Linked DNA regions of Struthio camelus. The protein of the gene in region 1 purifies or fractionates together with the protein of each later gene. This does not show direct contact. Links are inferred from orthologs where the notes say so. Each region holds a gene or a part of one and is shown on either strand. Other genes may lie near its edges.

What was found.
Region 2: the proteins of PRPF40A (region 1) and RBM25 purify together in Homo sapiens (affinity purification with mass spectrometry; 5 studies listed by BioGRID and IntAct, with this or other methods). This does not show direct contact. The link is inferred for Struthio camelus from reciprocal best matches to the Homo sapiens genes PRPF40A and RBM25.

What each region holds. Positions count from the first base shown.
Region 1 is NC_090947.1:44,931,169-44,947,142, reverse strand, and holds the start of PRPF40A (pre-mRNA-processing factor 40 homolog A), read left to right. Parts: upstream 1-9,644; 5' UTR 9,645-9,944; coding exon 9,945-10,307; intron 10,308-11,888; coding exon 11,889-12,026; intron 12,027-15,104; coding exon 15,105-15,185; intron 15,186-15,974.
Region 2 is NC_090946.1:43,481,981-43,498,326, reverse strand, and holds the start of RBM25 (RNA-binding protein 25), read left to right. Parts: upstream 1-10,241; 5' UTR 10,242-10,472; intron 10,473-16,346. Other genes in the region: ZFYVE1 (zinc finger FYVE domain-containing protein 1), read right to left, coding at 3,059-3,553. UniProt on the Homo sapiens protein: RNA-binding protein that acts as a regulator of alternative pre-mRNA splicing. Involved in apoptotic cell death through the regulation of the apoptotic factor BCL2L1 isoform expression.

The DNA.
Region 1 (15,974 bases):
CTTTACTTCTTCAAATCCAGATTGTGGATTGCTCAGCTGTGGAAGACAAGCCAAAGTGGAGGCAACACAAATTGGATTCCTCCACGCCTTTTTGCTCGCTCTCGCTGGACGTATGCTATCTACAAGGAACAGGAGATAACAACCCCTTGGGTTTCTGCTCCCCATGAAAGAGAACAGCACACAAAAGGGGCCCATTGTAAGACTGGCTGTGGCGCTCTCTGCGCTGCCTAGGCTGCGAACAAACCCCATGGGAAGCAGAGTGTACAAGCGCTAGCAGGACTTAAATGAATGAGCAGTTGCATTTTCAATATAGCAGCAACACTGAAGGGTACTTCAGTGCTTACCTTCAGGTGAATGGAACAAGCAATTTAATTCTTCTGATGATTCAGAAAGAAATTAAAAAGTATTTTCAGACTGAAAAGGAGAATAAATAAAAGTGCAAATTTGAATAAATTTTTAATGGTTGGCATCATTCAAAAATTTTCCTCTGGCAGACTTTTCCATCATGCATTAGAAAGAACAATAATGCTGCTGAATAGTGCCAAAAGCAAGCAGGTGTACAGATAACATTTGGTGCTGTCAAACTGATTTCATTTTCCGTATTATACCATGTGGATTGCCAGCCTAGTCTATACACTTGATTACGATGGAAAAATAAGCAAAAATACCCCACAGCAATACATTCTGACATTTACCCTTTATATAAACGTCTTCATAGCTATTAAACAGTTAAGTCAAAGCCAAATGAAAAACTGAAAAAAAATTAGTCATTTTGGAAGCCAGAACATTGAAGTTGAGTAGAAACTTGGCAGAATGACCAATTGGAAAGTGTTTACTTGTTTCAAACTGATTACTGAAAAAACACATTTTCAGTTTACCCATTATTTCATTCTGTGGGCCTGTGCTGCTGTAATTAAAAAGCTTTTCTGAGCAACTATGGAGAACGTCACACTTTAGAGACAGCGTTTCTAGCAAAGTTAAGACAATGCTCTTTTTAGTGACCTTTTCAAGTAAGGAACACCATTAAAAAGGAGCCTATTTTCCCTATGTGCCTATACCTGCATCGATTATCAGATTATTTATCATCTTTAGTATCAGACTGGTATATTGATTTTGACTCCTTAGTTCCTTCTATATTATTTTTAGTATTAAATAATAGATTGAAAAATGTCCACCATTAAAACAGTATGGCTTCTTTTAAACAGTTAATCATCTGTAGTGCTATTTGCATTAAAATATTAAGATGAACATTTTCATAGTGGTCTCAGTGATTTTTGTTCCCAAAGGTAAGCCTGGACCTTTCCTTATTCTGAGATCACAACAAGACTCATTTACAAAGTAACACCAAAAGATTTAGCTGAAGTAATCAAGCTGACCCTACTGCTAAGGGATATGATGTATATGAAAAAATTCATGCACTGATTTCACATCTTTAATGGATTCATCTCAACTTCCCTAAAAGTCTCTGCAACAACCAATGACTCTCACCTTTACTGTCATGGTAAAACGCCATTCCAGGAATTAATTAAAACTAAATACAAGGTTAAGCTCATTTTTATGCAACAGTACTATAGATGCTAAAGCCTACTTTCCGTGAGCTTCTAATAGACCAAACTTTAACTATTCATGTCATTGATTCTCTTACACCATTACACTCATTCTCCATTTAACCACAGAAGTTAAAAACATTACCATCAGAAACAAGGAAATACATTTTCATTAGAAGCTTGATGAACAACATTCTCCATGGTGAAGCTCAATTTACCCTGATTTTCAAGCTTAAATTTACAGAAAACAATTAACTGAAGAAACAACTTCCTGGATCAAAAATGAGTGGATCCATTTATTGATGCATTAAAAAGTTTCCCTCAGAAATGAACTCAAGAAGTGAAATAAGATACATAAGACTTTGCAGATTTGCAAAAAGTAGCATTTAGGAAGAATTAGCATTAGAAGTAGCATTTATCAAAGAATTAATTTGTCTTCCTGAAGGGCAGGCCATACTTATATACTGATTGAGCTGAATTTCCAAATACAATCTTCTAGATATTTTGTTCTGACTTTTCTATCACAGTTGACATTAACTTAAAGAGCTGTTACGGTTTTTCTCTCAACTGAAAAAAATTCATGTTGATAGGTTCTCAAAAGTGAAAGAATTTTCAGAAATAGGGAAAACATTCACACATGATAAGGTTTCTCTTCCTACTACTAACACAATTTGGGAATTAAATGAAGCTCTACTGCCCTTTGTAGTTTTATTCTTGTGTTTTTATCTTCAGCTTCATTAACATCTTTCAATACACATTTCGGATAACCTTCAAAGCTTTGACGTATAGAAAATAAAGATTTCAAACAACCTGGACTATTATTTTATTCTGATTTTTCTCACACATACTGCTTTTTCTTCCTACTTTTATTTCTTGTATCTAAAGACTTCAAAGGTTCATAACTGTTGCTGAAGGGGTGAATGCTCTCAAGCAGATGCCATTATTCTCTGTGCTTTTTAGCATTTCTCTCTTGAGGGTTTTTAAACTTTAATCCTCTCTTGACTTCAAGATATAGTTTTAAACCAATAGCACAGACTCCAATCTTAAAATAAAAAAGTAATTAAATATACAGCAACAGGATCAAGCAACAGGCATTACTGTCCTATGTGTGACTGCATGATTTTTATGAACTAAAACAAGCATATGGAAATTAAAAAGTAGGATGCGCATTTATTCAGCATTACACGCCTTATTAGCTTTATAAAAATCAGCAATTAGTTACTTGGATCAAATTTTCACAAGGATTGCTCTGAAAAACAAAATGTGAAGAAGTCCCACATTCACCCACCCAGTCTCACATTTACCACTTTGCTGAGTCCCACTCAGTGTAAAAATACACTACTGGAACATTTCAAGACATTTTTCATAGAATAAAGAGTGAAACATAGGCAACGTTCAGAGGAAGAAGTCAGCTGCAGAGAATAATTTTGGAACAGGGAGAAATAGCTCCCCTACGTTTCTTGACAAACAGGACTAAGGTTATGTGCTGAATATACCTGATTGGAATGTATCTGATATCCATGGGACTACTTGCAAGAAAAAGATTTTCACAGTGTCAAAGACTGTTAACTCTACTTTACAAATAAACAAAAGCCACTCAATTCTTAAATAAGTTAGTAAGTCCTAACGGAAAAAACTACAGTGTAACCTAAAGCACATCAGTCTTGAAGTAATCATTCAGACGCACCAGCAAAACAAAAATGTAATGTAACTAGCTTCATATAATATATGATTTCCCTCATTTCTTGCAGTGTTCAGAGAGATTTCTCAAGGTATTTCTCAAGGTATTAGAAACCAATAGTTTTCATCTATCCTGAAACTAAGGACACAGTTGCTACAGCAACGCTCTCTTTTAGATCAGCTTGCTCTTTGCTTAGTATGACAATATTTACAAATATTTTGCCAGGGCATATTAAACAGTACCGAAATCTAAATGGCATTCTAAAATTAAAAAAAAAAAAAAAGAAATACTTTATTTTCGTTAACTAACTGCTCCTAGTTTAGTTACCGAATCCCAAGATAAACACAGTGGAAGCTTCACAGACATATTCTTTTAGCTTCTCAGTCTTGGAAATGTATTTTGCGTACAAGCACTCACCCTGCTGGTCAGACTACAAAAGACTATCTGATTTCTTTGAAACAGCACTACCCAAAGGTAATCAGTCCTGTCTCAAACCAGAATATTGAAAACAGTTTTTAAATTTTATTTTCACATGTGCTTAAGACTCACTGAGTTTTGGAATGCATCCAGTCCACTCTAATCATAAACACTGAACATTTTAAGTCCAGACTGGAATCACTCATTTCATTGTTGCTTACAATAACATGTCCAACAAAAAAAAAAAAAATCAGACACTGTAGAAAGCAAACTGAGTAACTTAAAATACTCTTTGGAAGCTACACTTGTTACGTGCAAAATCAAAAGCATTCAGGCAGATTCAAACTTCCCAAACAGAAATGCAAAGTCAATCATATCACTGCATGTTTGGTACAACTTGTATTTTGAAATGCCTCTAGGTTAGGACTTCCTGTGGTAAACTGTGGTTTTCATACCACTAACGTTCAAGTCTATATCTGAGAGGCAGGGAAGAGGAAAATGTCAGTGGATGAATGTGTGCAGTAGATACAGGGACAGGGTCATAGTTTGAGGAGGCAAAAACATGCAGTACGAGGACAAAGTGCAGGCACAACAGGGGAAGGACATCTTTTTGATGTCTTTGGGAAGTTGTGCCCAAGAAGTCAGAAACTGCTGCTGCTACAATTGATCGTACTGGCATCCAAATCCATCATAAATTACAAAGCCTAAACAAAATAAGATAGGAAAGCCTGGTATTAGACAGTTATGAATACACAAAGTATCTTCTTTCAAACTTGGAATGAGACTCTTTCTATTCTTGTGAGAGTCGAGTAGATCCTGTTTGGATAGGAAGAAATTTACATTTCAGTTTACAATTTACATATAAAGTTTGTAAACTAGTGATTGGGGAGGTAATTCACGAATGGATCAACATCTCTGCCCTGAAGTTGAACTGGTCAGAGGAATGGTATGGGGCTGGAAAGAGCAAAAGCAGTAGCTGTCCTATTTTAATACAACTACAGCAGTTTGCTCTACTTTATGCGGTTTGTAGCAAATCTTAAGTATTTGAGAAGCAACATCTACAGATGTGATAAAATTGGCTTTCTTCTCTAGTACTGAAGAATGGCACCTGATTCAACAGACAACATTAGAAAATACATCAAATCATATACTGTATAAATTCCTCATCAGAATACCTTTATTTCTTCTGCTGAAGACCTGGACTTAGGCTGTCCCTGAACTTGAAAGAAGCCATGACAGGTTGGTTTGAGCTAGGTGCTACTATACCCTGCCTCTTATTACCTTCAGTGCTGTACCAACATTACCAATACAGCCTCCACAAAGTAGAACATTAACTGTATTTGATAATAATGGGGGGGGGGGGGAAATCAGATAATACGATACAGACTGAAAAATAAAATCCACATTTTCTGAATATCTATTATCTACACGCAGCAAAAAACTGTAACATATGATATGCAGCGAAATTCAAATGAAGGAAAAATATGTTATAATTTTTGGAATTACAGAAAATACACTCCGCATTTAAAATATTTAAATACTACAGATGGAAATCAAAGAATCATAACATGGTATCATTCTGACAAACTACCTAAGGGGGTAGTTACTGTGTGGGTTGTTTTTTTATTTCTTTTGTTTCTACAAAAGGCATTTCTAGAAGCTTTTGACTTATAACTGTGAATTTTAACTTTTTCTTTAAACGGTACATTATCTAACTGAAAAGTATTTCAGTGAGAAAAGAAGTCCTTCTCTCTTTGCTTAACACAATACACAGTGTCAAGAAAAGAGAATGAGTTTTTCCAACTCTAACTAGATTCTCATTATCCTCCTTGAGTTTATGTTACAGAAACTTTTTAAATTAATTTATTATTTAATTAATTACATTTATATACAAGTTCTGTAACCAGTTTTTTACTCTTTCAGATCACTTAAGGTCACAAATAGATCAACAGAAAGCACTTTTCATAATGCAACAGTTATCTCTTATGGACCGAAGAGATACAGCACCAAATCAATCGCTGAATTCTGAATAAATACTTACTTGAACCAGGTAGCAGCGGAGTGGGCAGAAACACTCCTGGTTCAAAGAAATCAAAATACATCCTGGTCCAAGAAAAAACACAGCACAAGAATTCTGCCAACGAGGCTACAACAAGCACACTACAAAATCTTTTGGAAGAAGCAAAGAGAATTTGACATACGTATTTTAATACTAATTCAAAGGCACCGTCATACAGCACAGCTCCACAATGCAACATAAATGGTCCGTTTTCCCAGAACAAAGTAGCAATCCTAGTTGCTCACTCTGCCTGGTAAGCCCAAGAAACAACCTACCAGAAAAAAACCCAGTAGCATTCCCCTCTATCCTTCCCTCCAGTTACAGCACAGCCAGCCACCTGGACTGAACAAAACTGAAGAAACCTCCAGCAGAGAATATGGCAGGAGAACTTTGGACAGGAACATCTTAAACCAGAAATAAATAATATCTTACTATAATACTTCATATATCAGTAAGCTAATTATTAGCAGGACAATTTTTTCTCCACCAGAATGTCATGCTGGTGAATTGACAAATATGATTAGATTCATTTTAGCATTCAAAACTATCAGACATAAACATATATGTTCCCTTTTTTTCTTCTCTCCTCCCCAGCTTACCTACTTTTTTTTTTACACAACGCAGTTACTACCACAACAGCAAAGGTCAGCATTAGCCCCTTCCACTACTTGAACAAAACAACAACAAAAAAAAAAACTTGGTAATACCATTTTAAGAGCCTTCAGCTGTTCTAGCAGCCTACATGGACAACTCAAATCAACAGGGCTGGAGTCTCCTGAGAACACTTACCAGTAGCTTACTAATCAAGCTGTCTGGTGAATACATCAGTGCAATAGCAGATAAAGAGAACTGTCCACATACACTTCAGAGTTTCATAACGAGAACACTGCAAACAGCAGTATCGTAGCTGGTTCTGTCCAAACAAACTGTTGAATCGTTGCAAGATTTTTCAAAGAGATAATGGACAGGTTCATTTTTAGCAAAACACTCAATCACTTCCATTGTCTCTAGCATATTGTATGCATATCTAAATTTATCAACGTAAGTTTTGAGCACGATAAAGTGGTGGCTTTTTATAATGAATTCCTGTAATTTTCATGAAAGTGCTCCAGAACCCTCACTCACTACCTTCACTGAGAGTGCAGCATGAGTTCAACCTGCCCTAGATAACAGAGGATTCACCCAGGAACTTATTCTTGAAACACAAGTATTAACAAAACTAGATGTTACTGGTTCTCTTTTCTTGATTGAAGTCAATAGGACATTAATATACCAGAGCTTCCTCTGTCAAAAGCCAAGACGGTTTCCTGTCTTTTGATAGCAACAATGGCAACAGCTGCTTCAGCCGGATAACAGTCCAATCAGCCCCACAGCAGAAGCAGCGTGCCTTCCCGTGTGGCTGTCCCCACCGGCATACCTTAATGCTCTGACTACATTTTTAAAGAGAATACTAGTTATGAATAATTAAGCCAGATTTTCAATGCTTTCCTGATAAAGGGGGGAGCCTTTTATTCATCACTGAATTATACTGAAAACGTAGGTGAACAGTATTGGTAATTTCATCCCCAAGATCCAGGATTTCAGATAGTGATGATTCCTTCATGGGATGAATATCACATAATGTCTTTTGCTGAGCAGTGTGCGCTTGCAATTGGATATGAGCCACGCACCACAGGGCTTCACATATACCTCACCAGCACCCTGTTTATGCAGAATCCTGGCTAGGAAAGTATAAACTGGAGAATTTGCAAGATATAAGCAGTTTTCGAAAACAATCACTTCAAATTTACCAAGTAGTTAACTGAAGTAGAATTGACTAAAACATAGAATTACATATTTGATTATATACTCAAGCCAGAGAATCAAGTCTTAAATCATAACAGTATGACATGGCAAGCCATTAGGCAAAGATTCTAATCTTAAAAATACATCTAGGCTGTTCAGTATGCTAAAAATCAAATTTTAACTCCTCGACCACAAGCTGCCCTGTTTCATCACAGGGTGACAGCCGTACAAAACTTCAACACATTAAAAAAAGTATTAAAGCAAAAGTGTTATGTTACAAAAGAAAAACTCAATCTTTCCGCATTATTATTCTTGCTTTTTAATTTCTCCTCGGTCATAGTAAAAGTTAATGTCAATCTTAGCAAATCTTGGCTTTTCTCACCAAATTCCAAGTTCCATCACAGTTATCTCACTATAATAGGACGATCCTGCTGTTAGGTCACGTGGATATTAACTTTGTAAGATCACATCTTCCACAAATCCTGCTGATCATCACACGGAAGTTAAGACTGCTGTTAAACAGACTTATTCTGCGTCAGGATTAGGACACCTGTGGCAGATGCTCCCCCACTGAAAAGCTACCACACTCATTTGTGGAGTCAAAAAAATAAAACAAAACACCGTATTACACCTCAAGGGCCATACTTGCGATTTATTTCAAGAAACTCCAAAAAAGCAAGACAAAGGAAAGTTGTGTTCACCCACATTTACACATTACAGACACTGGGAACCTGAACATTAAGTTGGTACTGCCTTTAAATATATAAAATAGATTAAAAGACAGTGTTTAGACATACTACCACAATTTCTATCTAGATGCAGTTAACTCCTTCCTCCACATCAAAAAGCCTTCAGTAGAAATATATACTCTTAGAAAAATCTATTACTATTGCATGCAAAAAAAACAGAGGTTCATATGGATTTAAAATATTATTAAAGCCAATGGTTACAATTTACACTTAACTTCGGTTATATTTATAGTGAGTTTTAACCCTGAATCAATTCCAGCTCTCCTCCCCTGGCTTTCTTTTTCCTCATCTCTTCTGGCACTGAATCTGGCCACAGGTTATTGAAGAGGCAGACAGAAGAGGATAACTTATGCCGCAGGACTTAATTAGTAAGCACAAGCCGGTCTGAAATAGGAGCAAGGGTACAAGACGGATGACAAGGGGTGGGAAAAGTGAAATCGATGCCTACCACAGTCTGTTGGTTGGAACGAAGTCCTACCAAACCCCGTTTATAGTATCTAAACCAAAAAATAAGCTTTTTTTATGAAGATATTTTTGAAAAGTTGCTATTCCTAAAACGTGGATTAAGCGCGGCACAGAGCACGTGGAAGGATTTGGCGTTATTACACCTCGGCCTTTGGGGCCTCTCGGGCCGCACGCGAGGCAGCCGAACAGGGCTCCGAAGGGGGACAAAGCCTCCACAGCTCTGGAGGAAGGTGGAAGACCTGAAGCGTTTTCAGCCCTTTCACCGCCTCGGGCGCTATTTCCGACGGCAGCGGTACCGCCCGCTGCCACCCCGAGGTCAGCGGGGCGAGGCGGAAGGCCCCTTCGGGCAAGGAGGAGGGGCACGCAGGCGGCAGCAGCCGTACCCAGGCAGGGCCCAGCTGCCACCCAGCTCCGCTCTCCGCCTGCCCCGACCGCAAACCTGAGGGAAACGCAAGCACGCAGCGTTAGTTGAACGGCAGAGAGCAGCGGAGGCCGCTTCCCGGGCTGGGCCCGGCTCGGCCCGCGGGGCGGCGGTGGCACCGGCCCCGGGCAGCGCCGCGGCCATGTCGGCGCCGCGGGCGGGCGAGGGCGCGAAGCGCGGGCCGATCCCCCTCAGGCGGCGGCTACCACCGCGCACGAGACGCGGGGGGAGACAAGCGGCCCCGCCCTCCCGCAGCACTCACAGCGCACACCGCGCGCGCGGGACGTACCACCGCAGCGCAGGGGGGGACGCAGCGAAGTTGGGCCTGCCGGCCGGCACGTACCACCCGCCGCAACGCGCGGGGTGGAGCAGCCGACACTTTCCGGCTTCTCCAAGCAGGCGGCGAGGAGAGCGGCAAGCGCGCATCCCCCCCTCCTCCTCCTCCTCCCCCTCCTCCGGCGGATGTGGCGCCGGCCGCCCCGCCCCCTCGCCCACGTGACCCTTTCCCAGCGTCCCCTCCGCCGTCCCCCCGCGCGAGCTCCGTGGCTCGGCGGCTCGCGCGCCCCCCCGCCCGGCCCGGCCTGGCCCGCCGCCGCCGCGGCCTGCTCCCGCTCCCGCCCGGAGGCTCTTCTGCTCGCCGCCGCCCGCCCGCCTAGGCGAGGCCTCGCCGCGCCGCCGTTCTCTCTTCGGCTCTTCCTCCCCCACCCCGGCGCGGGGCCTCTCTCCATCCGCTCGGTCCTCGCCGCCTGCGGCCGGCGGTCGCTAACGGCTCCGGGCGCCGACGCCGGGAGAGGCAGAGAAGAGGCTCGTCGCGGCCGGGATGTCAGGTGGGGACTCGGCGGCGGCGGCGGCGGCGGCCTCCCCTCAGCCGCTCCCGTTCTCCTTGCCGAAGCCCCCTCCCCTCATGCAGCTGACGCCGGGGGACGCCGTCCGCCCCGTCGCCGCCACCGCGGACCAATCGCCGAAGAGCACCCGGCTGGCGGGCCGCCCGGATTGGCCAGCGGGGAAGCCAGTCAGCCTGCTGGCGCCGCTGCTCCCGCCCCGCGGGGAGCCCGAGCCGCTCATGCCCTTTGGCCCCTCGTCGCGGCAGCCACTCAGAGGGCGGCTTCTTGGCAGGTGCAGCGGGGGTAGCCTGCTCAGCCCCTCGATGCGGCCCGGCGGCGTCGACCGGGGCTCCCTCATGGTGAGTGCGGGCGGCGGCGCTTCCGGGGGGGGGCGGCCGGGGCCGGGCCGGGGGCCCTTGGTTGTGCGAGCGGGGCGCGCTGGCAGCGCCCGGGGCTGGGCACAGCACCTGCGACGCAGCCTGAAACCGCGAAGGAAGCGGGAGTGGGCCGGGGCCGCCCCCCCCCCCCCCCCCGAGAGCCCTGTGCTGCGCTGGTCAGCAGAGGAGAGCTGGGGCGCGTTAAATGGCATTTGGTTGGCAGGTCCCTCGGGAAGGTTTAAAAACGCCTGTATGTATAGCGGTCTTCAGAGGGCGCGAGAAGGATTTGAGGAAGCGTTGTACTTCTGGTTCTTTGGAGAGCATCTGAGACTTAGTAAATCAGTTAGGATTATGTCCCCCATGACGTTCAAGGCGTGTATACGCGTGTGTATATATAGGTAAACTCTTTAAGTTTCAAACCTGTTCAGTTTGTGGCTTTTCAGTAATCGCAGAAGGGTTGAGGTTGGCAGGAACCTCTGCAGATCATCTAGTCCAACCCCCCTGCTCAAGCACGGTCACTGAGAGCACGTTGCACAGGATCGCATCCAGACAGTTTCTGAATGTTTCCAGGGAAGGAGAGTCCATAACTTCTCTGGGCGGTCTGCCCCAACCTCACAGGCTATTAATAGGCATGCCTTTGGGTACCCCCCAAAAATTTCAATGGAAGATTGTTTTTAAAGCATGAAAAAAGGTATTACTTGCTTTTTTTTCCTGCTCAGTATCCTTCTCAAAAAAGTACATTTTGTTTAAAAGTAACTTTCACATTGAGCTAATAGATATGAAAGACACAAGTAAGATGCAGAGCTGAATTATTTGTCTTTCAAAATAAAGTGCCTTTGAGCCTTTATCCTAAGGCACTCTTAAAGCTGATGCTTCTGACTGGAATAGAAGGCTTTTACTACGTTCTGGTAACTAACAAGTCTCCGAATATGAAATAAGATGTCTTCTATGTTTTTGTGTGTTTACAGAACAGACTTTTGACGTATGCTAGCTTTTTTAATCCTCTTACTGTGACTATACCAAGTATAAGGACAACCACAGGATTCAGATTTTTAGGAAAATACAGAGACAGAGTTTGTAGTCAGCGTAGAAGCTACTTCAGCCTTAGACATGAGAGAAGCAAAAGATAGGCTGGTCATCTGATTGACTTCTCTGCTCCAGGGGTACTTGTGTTAATCATAGTTGTATAGAAGAGCATGCAGAAATAGTTGCACACACAAATTTAGTATGTGATTCTATGACAAATTATAACATGAAAGATGGATATTTTCTTTTTTTATTTGGCTATTGTTTTTGAATTTTTAAATATATTTGTTAATTCTGATGATCTCCAGCTCTACAGATCCCAGAAGAGTATTCTTCTACAGTATGCTTAACATCAGAATTGATTTGTAAGCATTTTAATATAATTGTCTTGCTCGCTGTCTTGCAGTGTTAAGCTAAAATTGACTACCTCATTTCCAGTGGCGCGTCAAGTGTGTCTTTATTCTTAATGTTTTGTGTTTTGGGGGGCAGGGAGTTGTTGGCTTTGTGCTAATTTTTTTGTTTGTTGATGTCTTTCAGATGGGCCACCCAGGCATGCCACATTATCCGCCCATGGGAATGCACCCCATGGGTCAAAGACCACCTAATATGCCACCAGTTCCGCATGGTATGATGCCTCAGATGATGCCTCCGATGGGAGGACCACCAATGGGGCAGGTAAGGCAGTTTTACTGGATTTTTTTCTTTCTTTCTTTCTTTCTTCCTGTAATGAGGCCAGATAATTCCTGAGGTAGGTAAGTCTCATATAGTAGCTTGCAAATGATAACGTGAACAATTCAGGTTGTTTTATGCAGCCATGCCTATCCATGCAGAAACTCTTCTCATTTTAGTGGATAATGAAAGTGCTTCCTAGTTTTGGAACTTTAATTTTAAATTGTCATATATGTGAATCCATAGTTTATTTTTAATAAACCTTTTAGACAGTTTCCCATAGGTTTTGAAGAAGTAAGGTTGTCCTATTAAAAAGTACTAGAAACAGAAAGTAGCGATTCTTTTCGGAAGTGGTAATGGTAGAGAACTTTTTCTCTCTTTAGTTCTTGGCTAACTCTTACATCCAAGCATGGAAGACAATTGTAGGGAGACGCAGGGAAGAAACAAGATCTGAATTTTTGCAGAATTGCTTCTTGCATCCTAGGGAGCATTTATAGTTCTGTATAATATACTAGTGGTGCTAGTGTAATGCACAGTTTGAAAAACAAACTTAGCTATTCAGAGCACATTTGAAAGTGAATTGACAGGAGGAGTAGCCAGGCTCATATCCATGCTTTTGCAAATTTGAAGTTTTAATTTTAAACAAGGAAAGGTCCTTTTCCATGTAGTTTCTCATTAAATTTTGAATTTCTGAAAGAAGCAATTCTCTTCCTGGATAGAAAAAATCCTCCACTGATACTAGTAAGGTAGTGGTTTGCCGAAGTAGAGGTGGAGTGACAGTGACCGCACCAGAGGGATAGATTAGAGCAGACTAGTCAGAGGATAGCACGAAAGACTGAACCTTTGAGAAGCGCCCACAAGTGCGTAGCTGGCAACTCATTTTCTTCCTTTGCAGTACCTTGGATAGAGCATGTGTAATTTAAGTTTTAAAGCTAGTGTATTCAGACTTGATAGGAGCCTCCAGCGTGGTTTTGCAGTCTGTTAGATCTTCTGCTCTAAGAATAATGCAATTTAAAAAGATAAGGAGGAGTCAACCATTATCATGACAGCTAATCATGTGAGCTTTTGTGTATGTGTATTAAATATGTCCAGCAATTCTATTTTATTCCTCTGCTTAACAATTTTTTTTCTAGTTTTTAATTCTATTGATCTTATTCTCATGTAATGAATATTTCAGTCTTAATATTTTAGGGAACAATATAAATAGAGAACTTAAACATTTTTGGTAGATACAGAATGAAAAGCTAGATACGTGGCATGGCAAGAGGAGATTAGAGGCTCAGTGTCCCTGTGGCCATAAGGAGAGGACAAGAGGCTGATACTTTCAGCGCAGTAGTAGTTCCAGTGCAAGAGCATCGGCCGGTGTTGCCTTGTTTGCTTGGATGCTAAGCTTTTTCTTGCAGCAGATACCAGAGATTTATTTGTGACACTTAGCAGAGATGGGCTATTCCTGTAGCTTGTTTACCTCCTTGCTGAGGTGAACCTCTATAGACAAGAAACTCCTTTACACAGGACCTTAAGCAAGAGTAACGGCCTACTGTCAGCATCGTTCAGAGGAAGGTCTCACGAAAGAGAATTGTGTCTCTTCCCATGTTTTTTTCTTTGTGGACTTTGGGTCAGTGTTCCTTGGCAACCCGGAGAAGTACATGGAGTTTCTTCAGGACCTGGGTCAGGACTTTTAAAAAGTTTCACACTCAGAGCCCCCTTTAGTTGCAAGTAGCAGTGGGGCAAGAGTGCTTTCTTCTCCTGCTTCTACAGGATGGCAAGGAGTAGGAGGGGCCGCCTTCCAGTCTTTCCTTTCTTCCTCACCCTCCCAAGAAAACCTTGTGGATTGAGGGTGGAGCGGTAGCCCTACCAAATATCCCTCTCTCCGCACAAGATGCCAGATGAGGAGAGTGGTAACCTGATGCTCCCTGAAGATACAGGGGGATGGGGTCACTTGGCCAGCCTGCCAAGGACAGTAAAAGGTAAAGGGGGATAACTGAAAGGTTGAAGGGGGTTGACTTCTCAAGACCTACTTGGGCTGAGTGGGCAAGAAATCATATTGGTAGTGACCTAAACTATGTTTTGTTGATTTTTGCCCCCTTTTTTTTTTTTATGGCTCACCAGTTCTTAAAAGCCAGGATCAGCAAAAATTATGGGAGATGCACAAAATATTACAACCTTTTCAGTAACGTTTTAAACAGCTTTTCAGTGCATCAGTTTTTCTTTCCAGTGGGTAACTCCTGTGTATAATGTGTTGCAGTAACCATCCCTTTAAGAGTAGAAGCATAAATATTTGAGCAAAAGCTAGCTAGTCGAAGTAGCAGTTTTGTGGGGTTTTTGTCTCATCAGACCACACAACAAACTCTGCTATAAGTCTAGACTCAGACTTTTCATTTTGTATGCTCTGGTATGTCCCTGTTACCAAATTCATGTTGTTTTAAGAGAAGTCGCATGGTTTAATACTGCATATCTGCATTAATGTTTTTTTTGATACATTGTAAAAAACTGTTCAGAAGCGATTTAGAGCTTTGATATTTAAGTACGATAGCTGTCTTCATCATGAAAATGTTTGCAGAAACTCACTCTTCTAGTATCCCTGTAAAATGTTGCTTCCTATTTGCAGAGGTGAGAGGAAGGGGAGACAGGCTGAGAGTTGCCAAAAGTTGCAAACAAAACTAATCATAGACTCAGAGTTTACCTTTTCTTTGTTTAATAGCTTCTGTGTGACCTTGGAATTCTGCAGAAGTCTTTCCCACAGCCTTTAATTTTCCTGTTTTAACATAAGATTTCAATTTCAATAAGAGCGTATAAACAGATCGCTCGTCGTTTGTCATTGTTCTTTTGTAATTAAGTGGTTGTCTTTACTAATATTTCATATCAGACCTTGGAATATACTATAGCCTTATTATTCCTAATGTCCACTCTGTAGGAGTGTAATGAAAGGAAGCAGAATTCTACAACTTTAACTGTGTGTTGCCAAGCGCTTAGAAGGTTTATTTGGGTTAGAAACTAGCACTGTGTGATTATTTTGAAACCAAAATATTAGATGTTAAAAGTATCATAAAGTATAAGTATATTTGAAATACTGTTTAATTATAGATGCCTGGAATGATGCAGTCAGTAATGCCTGGAATGATGATGTCTCACATGTCCCAAGCTGCTATGCAGCCTACGGTTCCGGTGAGTTTAACTTTTCTGTGTTTTAAAATTCCTTCATTTCAGTTGCTTTCATTATTTCAGTATGGGTATGTCTCTGTTTTCTTGAATTGAGTTGTGAAAAAGGTCTTGTTAATTGAAGTTTTATCAAGCTTTTCAGTTCTTGTAAAATGATAAAGAGTTTGCTGAAACAGTTTTTTAAATTATTCTACTAAATAAGTTGTGTGTGACTGGACATACTGTATTAATCAGTCCACCCACCCCTGTGGTCTCTTAAGACCGTTAGCCAATTTCAGCCACGGTTGTGAGAGAAAGATCACAAGCGTGCTAAGCTTCTACAAGATAGGTAGAGAAGATACTGTTGAGGAAAAGGATGTAATGTCACTTTGACATGCACTAGATGATGGAGATTTCATACCAGACGATATTAATTACCTTAAAAGTGGGGAAGAGTCTTTAGTTTAATGTTTGGGCAGACACTAGAGAATCTGCCTGTTAAGTATGTTTCCCTCTGCTGTCCTCTGTTGTCTAATGGGACATGAATGTATGTTACAGCCTTAGTGTAATTTAAATGAAGTTCAGTAATTCCTGAGGCAAATTCATGGGAACCATGCTTCATTAGTTCTTGTGCTCACGGTACTACTTACTGATGCACTAAATGTTTTAATAGCTGCCTAGTAGGAAGAACGTTAGTGATTTCCCTTGTCTACCATACTGAAATCAGCATGAAGTTCTGCCAAGTGATACTCATGGCAAATTTTGAAAGAATTTCAGACCTTGGGAGAAAAACCTTTAAAATGCTATGCCCAAAAG
Region 2 (16,346 bases), on another chromosome or scaffold:
AAGTGGATTTGAAACAAGCACAAGCAAGCCATAAGCTCAGAAAGCTGAGGACATGTCTGCAAAGTGCAAAAAGCTCCAAGCTAGCTCTGAGCAGGCCAGTACATCTGTGCAACATGACAGAAGACAACTATGCAGATCTCAGAATTCTTATAGCTGTATTAGTGCAATGCTGAGCCCCAGCTAACAATCTCTGCCTCTCAGCCTGTTGCTCAGGCACAGCTCCTCACAGATGAAACTATACTGCTTCTGAATCTGCTAGCTCAGTCATTGCTTCCACACTATAAACATGTCCCTGAGTTTCAGAACTACCAGCTTCTGGAAGCCAACAGGATCAATGAGATGGGAGACACCCACTTGTGCTTAACAACTCCGAGTTTCAAAGGAGAAACAAATTGAAATCTCTCTGCCCTTAATTCTTGCCTCACTGAATTACTTTCAAGTAGAGGACAGTAAACCTGTACATATCAGCAAGTACCTCCACTCAGCATTTAGTGTCATGTTTGCTCAGCAGTTTAACTTGTTCTGCCTAATTTTGTAGGAATAGCATTTATCACTGCTATGGCAGAATCTGCCACTGATAGATCAGCAGTTCCCTCTTATTTCCAAATTAATGCAACAATCTTCATGTTTCAAAGATGAAAAACAGGTGGTCAAAGAAGGTTTAAAAATATATTAAAGACACACACACGACCCTGAATCTCCACATTTCAGGTTATTACAGTTTCAGCATCTTGAAGAAAGTGTTTATATTTAAATAAAGAACATCCCAAAGATTTCTCCCTAAGTAATCAGTAATCATCTCTCTAATGATAAGCACAAAAGAAAAGACTTAAGAGCACTTTCCTACAGCTATATTGGCTATTCAACATTATCAAAAGCAAAAGATGCTATAGAAGATGTCTACAGAGCTAGTCAACTGCCAACCCTCTCTAAATAAAGGTCCTCATACTCACTAACAGAAACTCACCAAAGCAGCAAGCACTCTTCAAGTTCCAGCTGCTAGAAAATATTTTGATTGAGAACTCTCAAACTGCTCCGAGACTGGCTGTGAGATGTCACATAAGTATTCAGCTATGAGAAAGAGAAGATCACTCCGGATGGAGGAACTCTGATTCAGCATCTTGATAAGCAGCAAGGATCATTTGAGAGCTTTTTCAACTCTGTTCTGATCAAACTGTTATAATCCAATAGAGTACAGTTGCTGTTCCCATAAGAAGGTTGGCTTCACTGCCCATGACATTTTAGTTAAGCACTTGCTTGCAAGAGCAGAAGTCCGCCTCAATAACGATTACAGATTCATGAATATAAAGGTAACTTACAACAGCACAACCACATGAAACCACAGTTTGCAAGCAGCTTTGCAGGACAGCCCTGTGCTAAGGCATTTCAGAATTTGCTCCAGTGGCCAGATAAAGATTATTGAAAAGCCTGCAACTTAAGAGTAAGAGTTGCACCTTCCATGTATTATGAGGAAATGTGTACACTTGAGGGACGCAGACAAATTTAGGACTGCTACTAAACCTGAAACTCAGTCACTCACTCAATTTACAGTCACTGTTGTCCTGTAGGTGGATTGTGTGTTTCCTATGTCAGCACATCCTAAGGACTATCATCCTTTCCTCCCTTCCTCCTCCAAAAGCCACGCGACTTTAAGTCAGCGTACTTGAACTGACCAAAACGTGACAAGTATCTTGCATCTTTTCTACAGTATTGGCAAGACAGACACATTAGCTGTTAATACGATGGATGCAAATGACTAGCCTACCAACAACGAGGATATCATCGCAATTCTTTTACCGCTAGTAGCATGAACATTAAATTACAGCAACCAGACACTGAGTCTCCAAGTGACCACACATTTTCTTTCAATGTCTGCTGGATGAGGTTTAACATGTAGGATGCAAACTGGAAGTCAGAAGATGAGGTTAAATTTTTAGTTGTGCTACTAACCTGAACCACAGAAAGTTCCACCTAAACCTGAGGAAAAACTTCTTCACTGTGAGGGTGACAGAGCATTGGAAGAGGTTGCCCAGAGAGGCAGTGGAGTCTCCTTCGCTGGAGGTATTCAAAACCCGTCTGGATGTGATCCTGGGAAATATGCTCTAGAGGACCCTGCTTGAGCAGGGAGGTTGGACTAGATGATCTCCAGAGGTTCCTTCCAACCTAAACGATTCTGTAACCTGCTCTGTGACTTCCACACATGGCATTTTTATATTTCTGTTCTTCTCATCTATAAAAACAGGGATTCTTTGCCTTTTGTAAAGTGCTTATGCTTACCAAGCATAAAGGCCAACAGAAGAGTTAAGTAACTGCAAGTATTGCACACTAGCCTCTGTAAAATAATTTCTCCTAAGCAGCTGTTTGTAGCCAATGAGTACTTTTATCATTATTATTGGCAGGCCTACCCCAAACTGATGGCCGGTCTGCCCCTCATTCAGGAAAAAGCTAACTTGGAATAATACCTGTGACTAGCAATATAGCTTAATCGTGGGGTCTGTAGGACTTGGATGGCACACATCAAGACTCCTTATAGGACAGCTATTTCTACTTTATCCCACTCCTAAAAATCAGACAGATTTACTGGTGCTAAAGGAGAGTAACAGGGGGCTGTAGTACTGCTTGGTACAGTGCCCACTCCTAGTCATATGGTAAGAGATTGGCTGCCAGCACTCCCATTTGCAGGATATCTACTGGAATCCTCTCAGTTCAGTTTTGTTCAGGAATGATCAGCATCCTGTACAGAGAGCGCTTATCTTCATTGCATGCATCTCAGTACAGTCAATTCTTTCACCAGCTCCACTTACCAAGCTTCTTAGAGGAGGCTCTTGCCACACATAAGGTTTTGACCTTTTGATGATCTCATGAGCAAGGCCATTCCTAGGCACCAGGGTCTTTTTGGCCCAAGATATTCATTCAGTGCCAGGAACAGACTATCCTCAATTTGTTACTGTTGCTGTCTGTTACACTATTAGTTTAGTCTAACAGACTATTATGAGGTGTGATTAACACAGAAGCTAGGGATATCTTGCCCATTCAAATAAACCACAGTAGTTCTTACCTGAATCTCCTCAGTTTCATCCACTAAGAGGAAACTGACAACTTTCTCTGTCATTTTCCTTCTCCTGGTCTCCTCATCCATTTCCTCCTCCTCCTGCTCTTGGGCTTTGCCAGCATGGTACACAGTGATGGGATGCTTCCTTTTGTTCCCCCCAGCATGTGTTCTCTTCTGACACTCCACACAGAGGTTGATTTTGCACACCTGGCACCTCACTGCTGCTCTCTGCCTAGATCCTGTCATACTGGTGTGCATTATGTTCCCATTGGCACCTTTGCAGGAGTCACAGTAAGGAACATGGCCAGGTCTTATACGGGTCCGTTCATGGTTCCGTAACCTTTCCTGCTGATGCAGCTCTTCTTCACACCGCTGACACTGTAGGCTCCCGCATTCGTCACACTCAAAGATTGCTTCATCTGTCCCACTGCAAACGTAGCTTTCCTGGCACAGGAGTGTTGTGTTCTGTCCTTTCTCTGCAGTTTGTGTGTGGGCGCTCATCTTCAGATTTCTTTAACGTTTTTCCTCCCTGTTTGGGTTTTTGAACAACGATATGTGTATAAGTCAGCTGAAAATTTAGTATTTTCACAGGGGAAAAGAAATACAGAAGGAATTCTGTCACCACCCAATTCTGAAGAATTAATACATGTTTCTGTAAGATTCATACACTGACTGGCCTTCCAGAAAGAGTCTAATGTTAAGTGCAGACAAAGTTTCCTTACTCCAAAATAAACAATGTGGCTGTTTTCATCTATTGATGTACCCAAATGCTGGAAAACATTCTTTCTCTGCTTAGCTAGATAATGTATTTTCAGTGATGTGGGGGGAAAAAAATAAAAATCAGTGTGGTGTACTTCAGCAGATTGGTGCAAATGTTTCTCTAAAGCAGAGAGTGGTAGGAGATTAATTGGTAATACAGAGGAAAAAAAGACATCAGAAATGCACAAGTGCATATGGAGGTACACACACGGGATTGTGTCAATACTAGAAAATTCTCTGCTTTCAATCTACAGCTAAGCTCCTCCTTCAGAGTTCACAGTATTTATTTGCAGGGACTTTCCTGATGTACTTTGCCAGATAAACAAAATTAGATATCTTTGTATGCTCCTCCTAGTATTGCTGAACAGCATTCATTACCACAGCCACACTGACATAAGATGGATTTTTCTGTCAGATACAACTTGCCAAAATAGGCCTCCGAAACAAGTGACTGCTCCAAGTATGCTGCACACCAAGCAGTCTTTGTCTCGACATGCTCCTTTGCAGTTGTGCAGGGGCCCTGCGCCCTACCTTCCCCACATCAACCCACAGCCCACTCACCTCCCTCCTTTCAAACACACAAGCCCACAGAGCTACTTTCATTTCGGCTGACTCTTGGCGGGGGGGGGGGGGGGGGAAGGGGAGGTCTCCTTCCAGAATAAGCCATTTTTCCACCTTGCAGGGAGCAATTGCTTATTTCAAGCTGCTGGTGCTGGGCAGCTAGCCGGGTGCGCTAGCTGCCCCCAGGCACCGCTTACACTTGTGGCTCGGTCATTTCTGATACCACGAACCAAACAAACATGACGGGCAGGTACTTTTTTCAGCAATTCTGCGTTAGTTACATAACGCCGCTAGGAGCTGGGGGCTCGCTTGCGCGCCGTGCACCTACCTCGGGCTAAGCCGAGCGCGGCTCCTCGTTATCCCGAGCAGCAGCTGAGCAGAAAGGGGGGAAGCGCCGGGTTTCTCCCGCTAAGCAGCGGCAGCGGGCGGGGAGCCGTGGCGGGGGCTGGGACGCGCCGCGCCGGGGAACAAAGGCGGCCCCAAACGGGGCGCCGCGAGCCGCGCTATTGTTTACAACCCAGCGGCCACCTTTCTTCCCCTTCCTCCCGCCGGTACCCGGTGACTAAGGAGTCGGGTCCCAGCCGCTTCTTCCTCCTCCTCCTCCTCCTCCCCTGCGCAGCCGGGGAGGGGGGGCGCCCCGCTTCTCCTCCCCCAGGGGCCGTGGCGGCGCGCCCCGACCATGCAGGCGAGGCGCCCCGGCAGGGCAGGACCCGCGCCGCCGCCGCCGCCCTCCTCCCGCGCCCCTTGTTGTCAGCCGGGATCAGCTGACCGCGGGCAACTTCGGCGTTATTTCCCCCCCCACACCCCTCCGCGGAGACGGGAAGGCGGCAGCGGCGGCGGGGCGGGGGCGGAGCGGCCCGGGCACGCCGGGAACTGTAGTCCGCCGGCCCGGCGCGGCCGCACGGAGGGCCGCCGCGGGGCCCCGCCATGGCGCCTGCTGGGACGCGTAGTTCCCACGGCCGTTGGGCGGGTCGGCGGGGCCGGGCGCGTTGTTGCTGGGGCGACGGTAGCGGCGGGTGACCGGACCGGAGGGCGCTGTGTGTGACGGGCGGCCGTTTTATACGGGCTGGGGCCGCGGCGCGCGCCGCTAACGGCTGGTGGCGGCGCGCGGCTGGGGGTGGGGGAGGGGACGCTCAGGCGCCGGCCCCGCTGACTAAAGGGGCAGCGCCAGGGCTTTGGGGGGGGGGGGGTGGTTCTGGGGGACACAGCGGTTTGGGGGCTTTTTGCTGTCTTCCGAATTTTTTTTTTTTTACTTTGTTTTGTTTTTGTCTTCTGCCCCGAGGCTCGCGGGTTCTCGGTGGTGCTGGGAGCACGGGAGGCCTCTGGCTGGGGGTGGGGGGGTGGGCAGGCTGGCTGCCCTTTGCAGGAGTCCCAGAGGAGAGGGAGTAGCCCCCAGTTGCTCTCTGAGGGATGAAATTCATAGAGAATCTCTCTCTTTCTTACGTTTCTTGGAGTGCAGCCTGTATTTTTTTGTCCACTGTTATTCCCAGGCCTTGAGGTCTTGCAAGTAAGTAGGTCACATTGCCCTTCTGAGGGCATGCTGAGACACTAAACTTGTATATACTAGCCAGTCACTTGAAGGAAGCCCTGCCAAGCAGTGCCACCGTTCATTATTATATCCCCCTTTTTTCTTTTTTTGTAGAGGTAGTTAATGTGTGACCCGCCACTGTTTATTTAGTGGAAAGGCCACAGATCTGAAACAGGTGACTGCCAAAGAACAGGTGACTGAACTGTCCTTCAGTCAGAAACCGAAACTGTGGAAGTGGAAGATGGCTGTTGCAGACTACTTGGGGAGAGGGGGAAGCATGCAGAGACGACCCAAGAACTCACAAAAAGAGGAAATAATCTGAACCAGTGAGCTCTTGGCTCACTTTGGTAACGGTAGGGTGCTACTACAAAAGGACAAGTCATTTTTAATTGCATGTGTGTTTAAGGAAGCAGGATGTGATTTATATAATATACAAAAATATTTTTGTAGTAGTATAACCCACAGTTTGTCTTCTAGAATACCTGGAGCTTTTGGCCAGACGGTAGGCTCTTAACAGTATCATTACCTCACTGCAGGAAGGAGATGTGCTGTTTCACTTCAGTGAAGTTTACACGTTGGTATCCATAGAAAGGCAGCTTTAAAGTGCTCTGCAAATTCGTCCTCTTGGTTTGGTTCTATACCAATAATTTCAAGAGAGGACCAGCTTACATAATTGGTTATCTGTATAGATTGCAACGATACCTAGTTTACTTTCTCTAAGGTGAAGTAACATCACTTCAGAAAACTGCGTCAGCAGGCCCAATTACCACAGAAATGAGGCATCAGCTAAGTTTCAGAAACTGTGTGTGACCAAGGCCGTGTCTGAATTCAAGTGTATGCTTGAAGTACTTTTGATTCTACTAGATTCTGTGCTTGCAGAACATAAGTTTTGCCTGTATCGAGGAGGGAAAATGTTTTAACTAGGTTAGGCGTGGTGTACAGATCCACATGCGGTCTGAGTGAAATTGAAATGTGGTAAGCATTGACGTATGTTTTTGTATCTAGGCATAAATATGGTTCATCCATTTCTATGCAGTTTAATGATGATGAATGACTGAAGGGTGGCAAAGTAATTCTCTTCCCTATTCTGTTTCATACGATTATGATAAGGCATTTTAATTCATTTTTTTGCAGAAAAGATTAATCAAAAAGATTAATCAAAAGATTAATCAAATAGACTGAAATCTATAAATATGAATCTTTCCTGAGCCAAATGTTTTCAGAGTGAATAACTTCTTTATAGTGCATATATTCCTTACACAGGAGGTAGAAGCTTTTAAATCTCACAAGATTATTCATAGGGAGCCAAGGAAGCAAATCAATGAGTTTGGCTTCTAAGAGATATTCCTCTAAGTGGCTGTATTTAAGCAGGTAATGTGATAGGGGGAAAAAAAAGTATGGGGAAGACAACACAACGTAATTATTCATTTTGTGGAATTATTGACAAAAGTACAATGAAAAGCTACTTTTATTTAAAATATTGTATCCTATAAAAAGTACATAGTAGTGCTAGTTACTAAGCTAATTATTTCTTTCTGGATAATGCTTAAACTTTCTGCCCCTACTGTTTCCTGCCTCTCTCTTAGAAAGATAAAAGCGCAGCACTGGTCCTCCTGGAATAGGAAGTGTATGTATCTCTGTGCTTGGGTCCAAGTTGTGTTCTGTCACAGTCAGGTTTTAGGCCATCCTTTAAATACATGACAGTGAAATGGAGCAGCTAAGCGTGCTCTTGAAAAAGTCCTTCACCCTCACTTCAGATCTCTGAGCAGCAGCTCTCCTATATTCCTTCCTCCAGTAGATCTGAGAAGTGAAAAAATGTGGATCCTCCTGTGAAGACCTGATGTATTCCCTCCATTTCCCCCTTGATTGTTTTCACAATATGTTCCAAAATGCTGTAGAAAACAGATGTGTTCAGTTTTTTTTATCCTCTTCCTATGAATGTCCTTGTTCACAACTTGTGTACTTAGAGCATTTAAATGTAGCATTTAAATCTCTCTGACTTTTAAATTTATATGCTGTTAATAATCATCAGTTTGATTTTAAGACAAAAATTACTTCCAGCTGCTTCTTGTACAATCAATAAAATGAATTTTATTGATTTCCATGGAAATAACATAGGATGTGCCAGGGCGAGAGAAACCTTCATTGGATAGCACAGGTAAGTGGTATGTATCCAGGATCCTGATGATTGGTGACAGTTTTAAAAGACCGTGCTCCTACACCAGCACTTTATCGCTGTAGTGGTACTTTTTGCTCAGTTACTTTGGAGCTGTGGACTAGAGTTCAGTTCCTGGCATAAAACATTTAAAATGTTATGCTGCATAGAAGCAATCTGAAGTTTGCACCCTGAGATGCTGCCTAGCATGTTTGGAATGGTTTGTCACAGTTGAAATGCAAAACAGTCTGCAGACACTAAGTGCCTGTTCTCATTTTTGGCCTTTTGTAAAGGCTATGTACTGTAGTCTTGATTGGCTTCAGCATCAAACTCTGAAGCCTACAGCGAGTAGCTGAATAAAGTGAACTGTGATCAGTAGCTGGAAAGTGGGATCTCAGTTTCACAATTAAAGAGTAAAAATATACCTATCCGTAAACCTATCCATCTGTTAATTATAAAATTGAATAGCAGAAAGAGCAGAGATGTGAAAGTAACAGTTTTTACTGGATTCTTGTGATGCAGTTTCTTCCTTGGTTAGAAAGGATACTGAAAGCTAAAGTGTATGGTTTGTATAAGGAGAGTAAATGCAAAATGGTTTGTTTCTTTGGCTAAATAAAAAAGATGAACATCTAGATCAAGAACACCTTTGTGATTTTTCCCGTAAATAAAAAGGTTTGTTAAAGCAATACGAGTGAGATTGGATTTCACATTCTTTTTCAAGTAGATAATAGTTTCAATTTAGGACCATAGCATAGAAACATGAAACTTGGAGGATTCTTAGTGTGTCCTTTCTACTTTCCTTGGTTTTCCTGCAAACTGCAAAATGAGAACTATATTTACCTAAATAGTATAAATACTTATCAATTGCTTGAAAGATTAATAGCAGTCAGAGGCTGTATGGAATGAGTTGTAATTAATGGGAAACAAAGATGTTGTTTCTAAAAGTGGAAGAAATTGCTTTCAGTCTTGAAATATTTCCTTTAACTACTACTACTCAAATGTGCACATAAACATCTTGCACATAAACATCTTGCAAAGCAAGGTGATGAACAGAACCTTACTTTCAACTCGCTTTTTAAGTGTTCAGTAGTCCATCCAGTGAACTGTGTCTCATATTCAAGTAGTCAACAGTGTCAGCTTTGAATGTGTTTCTTGTCTTTACAGGTGGTGGTACTTGTGGAGAGGATTGTTTGTCATTACCTTTGGTCTTTGACCATTTTTCTTTAATGCAGCATGCATAAACAGTGGAAAATGTAGTACAGAAATAACAAGCATTTTTCCCTAGCCGATCTAAAATGTTTTGAACAGCTTTGTTGACACATACTCGTGTTGTGCTCTGCTTCGTAATGGTCTGCAAGACTGTCTTCATTCCATTCGCAATCACTTCCTCTTTCCATTTGCAATTGCTTGCCATCATTGTGGTGAACAGAGCAATTACTTTCCTGTAAGTAATGCTGGGGAGACTTGCACATTTTTAAGTGTCTTTCAATGCAGTCTAGCTGCTGGAAGTAAGTGAGGGAAACTACCATTTGTAGACCACTGCTAGGACCACAAAAGAGTATATAGATGTCTTTTGGCTGAGGGTTTGCTTGCCTTGGACGCTGGTGTTTGCTGTGATCCATAAATCCTTACAGAGTGTCTAGCTGAGATGCAGCCTTCCACATGGCAAATACACATCTACTGATAATAGGATTGCTTATTAGCTTTCTAGGCCCTTAAAATCTGCTAAACCATAACGGAGCTAAAGCACGTGTTCCCTCCTCCTTAGCCTCCTGTTACAAGCGAGGGGAGCAGGCAGGTTTCCCGCACGCCGATGTCCCGCGGGGGCAGCCGGCGCACGCTGCTGTCGCGGCTCCAGCGGCAGCCCAGGAACGGCCCAGCGGCCGGGGCCGGCGGCGGGCGGCGCCCCAGCGGCCGGGGAAGACCGGCGCGGCGGGCAGCCGTCGCCCCCCGGGGCCCGCAGCCAGCGGCGCCAGGAAGCCGCCGGCAGCAGCGCTCGACCTCAAGATGGCGCGCCCCGGGGCCGGGCCGGGGAGTCGCACCACCTGCCCCCAGCAAACATGGCGGCGGCCCCAACGCCTTTTTTCTCTCTTTCTACCCTTCTAGCCACGGCACTCTATGGTCCTGCGCGTTATGTCTGGGTGAGGAGCGAGAGGGCGCTCTGGCTCGCGCGCCTCTATGGTCGCGCGGCGCGGGGCAGGTCGGGCCGCTGACGGAAGGGGTGGTTCACATGACCCCAGCGCAGCGCGGCGGCTCTGGCTCGGCGCGGTGTGTTCGCGGCCTAGCGGCGCCCCGAGGCCTCCCAGCGCGGCGAGAGGCGGCGGCGCCCCCGTTCCCCAGCCCCATCCCCGGCCTGCGCGTGTAGGAGGGGCCGAGGCGGCGCTCCGGACGCGGCTCCTACCCCTCAGCGAAGGAGGGTGAGCAGCGGAGGGCTGCAGGGGGAAGGGAGACGGAGGGAGGGACGGCGGCGGCGCTGAGAGGAGGCGCCGCGCCGCGCCGGGCCGGGCCGGGCCGAACCGGGCCAGCGCCGCTCCGCCGCGCGCTCCCCACCCTCGGGGCGGCGGGAGGCGTCCGTGCCCGTCGCCGGGCCGGGCCTGGGCCTAGGCCGCGGCGGGGAGGCGGCGCGGGGGTGGGAAGGCAGCGCGGCCTCGGGGAGGCGCTGGCGGGCGGGCGGCGGGGGGGCCTTCCGCTTCCTGCCCCGGCCCGGGCGGCGCGGCAGGCCCTGCCCGCTGCCGGGGCCGCGGCGGGGAGCAGCCCGCCGCCGGCGGGCCGGGGCGGGGGGGCGCCCGTGGCCGAGCGTTTGTCGGCCCCCGAGACTGCCCCAGGGCCCGGGGCTGGCCGCCACCGAGGGCTGGGGGGCTTCGGCTTCTTGGTGCCGGCGACGCCGGTCGAGTGAGGAAACGTTCTTCGGTGGTATCGTGATGTCCTCCGTCTGGCCCGGGGGAGGCCTCTTGAAACATGCGTTAGGAGCTTGTGCTTAAACAATCGGAGGGATTCACCCCTGTCTGTAACAGTTGTGTTGTGTGCATTAGCATATTTTGCTCATGATGCGTTCTACTGTAGAAAAGACCTTTGCCTGCCTGAAGGAGAAGGGGTTTGGTTTAAATATACATCAATAAATATCCTGAACACAATTTTCTTTTTGATAGCGAGGCTTACACGTGAGGAAATCTTATAATTGGGTAGTCTTCCCTCTATTTTGATCAAAATGCGTATGCCCAAATTTTTAGTTATTTTGTGGGTCGGGAAAGAATTGGTACCAGTACACTGCATCTGCATTTACAGAAGGCAGTCCAAAACAGAGTTATAGAAGCAAGCACAGACCAGTTTCTTGGTTTGTTATGAGGTGGTTGTCTTAGCCCTTCACGTTTCTTCTACCTCTCTCTCTTGAGTGCCCGTTCTCGCAGGTGTCGTGATGCCACGGCTGTGTTTGTGTTTCAAGAAGAATGAATGAGCAGCAAGGTTAGGGTGGAGAATCACTTCATTAGCACTTTACATGGGCACAAAATTAGGAGCAAAAGTGAAGTTTTTAATATTCTGGTGTCATGTTTGGTAGAGCGCCAGATAAGGCATTTTCAAAAGGACACATCTGTTTGTTTCAGTAAGCATGCAGTGTTCTTAGACACTTCAAAATAATAGTTTGGGAGGCAACTTACTTGATGGCAGTTAGCAAACACTTCTGGACCATCTCTGACAAGTGTAAGCAAATGCTAATTTTGTTTGATCGGAAGTAAGTGTGCTTCAAGTCTGTATATCTGTTTTATCTCCGTATGTGGCTTTTGTGTTTGGCACTGATGCCTTGTGTAACTTGCAGGCGAATTTAATGAAAGCTGTAGAGTTGTATGAGAAGGTGTTGGAGAGCCTTCACTGAGAGGATCAGCTGGCCTGAAGGAAAAAAAAAGACTTTTCCTCAGGGTGCTATTTTCTTCTGTGAGAAGTGTCATTTGTTTATATCAATAATACAAGGAGTATCTCTTTTGACAAACTGTAGGTTTAGTTATTTTATATGGCTTTAATGGCTTTAAAAATGGCTTACAAATCCATAGACCTTGTAGAGAGTGATGTAAAAGCCCGCATAATAGCATTAACAGGCTTATTTATCACATACACTTTCTCCAGTGGTTTCTTAAAATGTTTTTGGTGCTCAGCTGGACGTTTTGTTATGGTGCAAAATGTATAAATTGCTTCAGCGTAACTTAGAAAGAATTATTGTTCACTCTGGGATGCTGCATAGATACAGACATTAGAACCAAATGCCAAAAGCTTGTAAGATTCATAATAAAAATGAGTCTTATTCTCAAAAAGCATTAAAACATTTATATACATTGGAGCTTTTCTGTGGACGCTTGTGAACACAGTGAAACGTGGGCAGTCAAATCAAATGCGTGTGTATTTTTCTTTAACCTGTGTGATATTATATAGCGTAGTGTACAAACCTAAAATAGTCATGGATTCCAGATTTTGTCATGGACTGTTGTAATAATTCAGAGGTTAGGATTACAGTCAAAGCTGTTTTTTTAGTTAATTTAAAAAAATCAAAAAATGGTTTGCACTGACTGTTCCCTTATTTAAAGCTCTAGCTGTTCATCTATTTTACGCTTATTCTAGAATAAGTGTACAGATTTTTGCCATGCTGAAGGATAGAATTAGAAAAATGTTGACGATAAGTTAAAATCAGACTTAAACTGTAATCAAACTAGATTAGCCACAATGTGTCACTTACGACACCTTGTGTGTTTATTCTTAAAACACCTCAAGCTCATTTAGGCTTGCAAGATTACCATGGTTAATTTTAACCTTGTTTAGTGCAACTGCAGCTCAATAGTAAGTATTGTAACTGCCTGTTTCATATTTTGTAACCATTTTCAGAATAGTTAACTGCCATATGTTTTGCAAGGGTCTGCTAAAAAGGCGGGGGGGAGGTTTGTAGAAACAGTTATAGATACTAGTTAGTCTAATCACCTGACGCTGGTAGAAGTAACATGGCTGCTGTGAGTAGGTGATACAATTGCCAGTTTGAAATATATTACTTAACAGTGATATTTAACTAATAAACTTGCATTCTGTTTTTGTCACTTCATTTAAAAAAAAAAAAGGGGGGGGAGCAAATCAAAAATAGGTTAAAAGGCTATTGCAATTTTTTAAAAATTACATTAACAGTGCAGTAGGGCCAGTACAAGCTTCTCATATGGTCACCCCCTTTTGGGGGCCAGAGATAATATAGAAGCATGGGATAGCAATATGTGAATGACTGTAACCATCATTTCTTATACAGTGAATTTTATACAGTCTCACACGCTTCAGTCCAGCCTGCCCTCAGGCTAGCCCTGTGAGCTCGTGTGGCTCTGTTAGAGTTAGCTTACTTTTAATACTCAGTGCTCAGGTCCAGTAGGGATAGCATTGAGTCAGAATTAATAAGTCTCAGTGGACCTTACCTAACTTTACGGCCATATGGGTATTTCTCTACTCTCCCAAGCTTCAGAAGATTGGTGCAGCTGGCTCTGCATGCAGTTTGGTTCCACCAGGGGCTATTAACTCAGAAAAGCAGTGTGTGAAGCAACTGAATTCCTTCTGGGCCCAAGTTGAACGTGGACTATTATAGTTGCTTTTGAACGTGGACTATTGTAGTCGCTTTTGTGTCACACTTGCCTTAGCTAATAACTCAAGTTGGATTTGAGCTGATTCTGCTTAGAGTAATCTTAGATATTTTGCCACCTGCATTTGTTAATCTGCAGCTCAGAAAAGCTGCCCAAGGGTAGTGAAGTGTGCACCTGTATTAGTGTGTTAGCTCAGATTGGGAGCATGCTTTTGAAGCAAGTCTCCCAGTCAGCCCCACTTAGCCAGCTTTTATTCACATTGGTTTGCACTGTTACAATGGATGAATTGAATATACTGAAATATCCACCCTTAACTGTTAAAGGGCAGTTGGTGCACTGGACTAGAGCAAGCCTGAAATAAAAACCTCCCCAAAAGATGTAGTGTGGACATTGGGGTCTCAGCTCTGTCTGTTTTGCTAGAAAGACCTGTTCCTGTTGTGCTTCCCTGCTTGCTGATGTAGACGTGGCCTAAATTGACTATGCTTTGAGTCAGAATCCTGACATAAATCCATCATTGTGAGTGGTATAGGTGTCATATTATTTCAGTATTTGGAATGGTGTTATGCTAGATGCTGAGTGTTTTTCTTACAGTTGTATTTTTCTAACTACTTTAAAGATTCACAAAAATGAATCTGTCCTTTAAAGTGCTGCTATTTAAGCAGCATTCTTGATAGCCGCATCTTACATCTAACTTTGAAATAATACTTTGATAAGTCAAATGCGTTTTTAAAATATGTCAGGATTGTTTAGTTGCTTACTTGCACACTTGAATATTTTGGGGAAATCTGAAGATCAGCACGTACACTACTGAGACCACAAAAATGTATTGGAGACTGAGCACTGAACTGTACTAGTAGAGGGGTAGGACAGTCTGCAGAGAAGTTCACAGTAGGGTTTCTGAGATATCTACAAGGGTATTCTCCCTGGACCCAGCTTAGCATCTCTTAACTTCCCATACTGAAGCCTTAGTTTATAGTTGCTTTATAAATTTGAGATGCTCTGGCAGCTCTGACTGCTGGAAGAGTATGTACTTTTCTTGCATCTTCTCTAATTGCTGACAGAAAAATTGTGCTACTCGCTTTCCTTCCTTGCATTTTCCTTCCTCTTGGCCACTGCAGGAAAGCGCATGCATCTTTCTCACTGTCTGATTTGTATCCTTTGCTTCTCTAGTGAACAATTTCAGTCTGGATACCTGTTGCTGCTCTGTTTTTATAGCAGAAGTAGGGTTAAACTCTCATATTTGCCAGTTTCATGTTAGTAGTTACACATAGTAGCAAGAAAGAGACTAAGCCTTTCTTTAATTTAAGTGTTGATGGTCTTCAGTGCCAGAGCAGCTTTCTAGCTGTTGTGAAAATAGCCTTACAAATGTGGAAAAAATTAGAATATAGTGCTTCAAGTTGACTTGTTGAAGGTAGCAGTACAGGTAGCAGTACATTTCACATATTTCTGACTAGAAAATTGAAAGACTTTTTCATTTGATCTGTTTGATCTGTTACTATCTACCTTTGTCCTTTTAGGGAGTAACAATTCCTTTATTGAGTGCTAAACTTTTGCTTTTGATCTCAATTAAAAAAAGATATATCTAAAAACAATTCGCCTGCGTGTATATATAACATCCATTAAGTTGGGCATTTTTCAGCATTTTTTTCATTGAAGAAGCTTTTTACCTCTTGCTCCCTACACTCACACACAGTCCAAAATGGTGTCTCAGTTGAAGTGTTTGTCACAGCAAGAGAACCAGCTGCACCTACAGGCAGCCTGGAGAATTACTTCCAAACTGTTGATTGTTTTACAGATCACTTTTTAATGCCTTGTGGACCTCATATGTGTAACACTGCTGTAGCCTACTGGAATCACTCAAGCCCAATAGTTTATTGCCCTATCCTCCTGTTCCAAAGCTCCATTGAATTTTGTCCAGTTGTCCTGGACAGTGCCTGCAGTGTAGATAAGGACTGAGAGCTGCTTAAAGGAATAAGATCTGTATTTTCCCTTTTTTAAGGCACTTGGTTGTTTTCTTTGTGAAAAAATGTAAAGTAGTAATACCAAGGTGGTATCCTACCCAGGCTTCACATTCTAGAGGAAGATCAGCTAATATGCACATAGTCTGAGAAGAAATATGAGCAGTAGTATGTACATAACAATAACCATCTGATTAGCAAATTATAAAATATTCTTTACTGTCCGTGTTAGCATATCAGGCCTCAGCTCATTAGCTATTGCACAAGTTGAGCTAGGAGACACAGGAACTGGGAAGTTAAAAATAGATCAGAGAGCCCTCCTCCAAGCTTGTAACTGTCTCTGGGCTGGAATTTGGGAATTGCTGCAGCGTCTTTCCTATTAAATACAATTCCCATTGATGTTTAGCATCAGGATGTTCCACTTTCTTCTCTCATTATTTCGTTCCACAGCTATTTTGTGAGCGATCACAGAATGGCCAAGGTTGGAAGGGACCTGTGGAGATCATCTAGTCCAAACCCCCTGCTCAAGCAGGGTCATCTAAAGGATTGTTTCTTGTACAAGAGAACTGCTTGGCTTACTGAAAAATGTATTCCAAGATTACTTCCGTTCTCAGATACGGAGGAAAAAAGCTTTATCTTCGTAAAAATTCATTGACTACAAACTTTTTAATTCACTTTCTTTGTGAAACATTGGTATGAGAGGTCAGTTATAGTTCTAGTTTTTTGTTCATTCTGA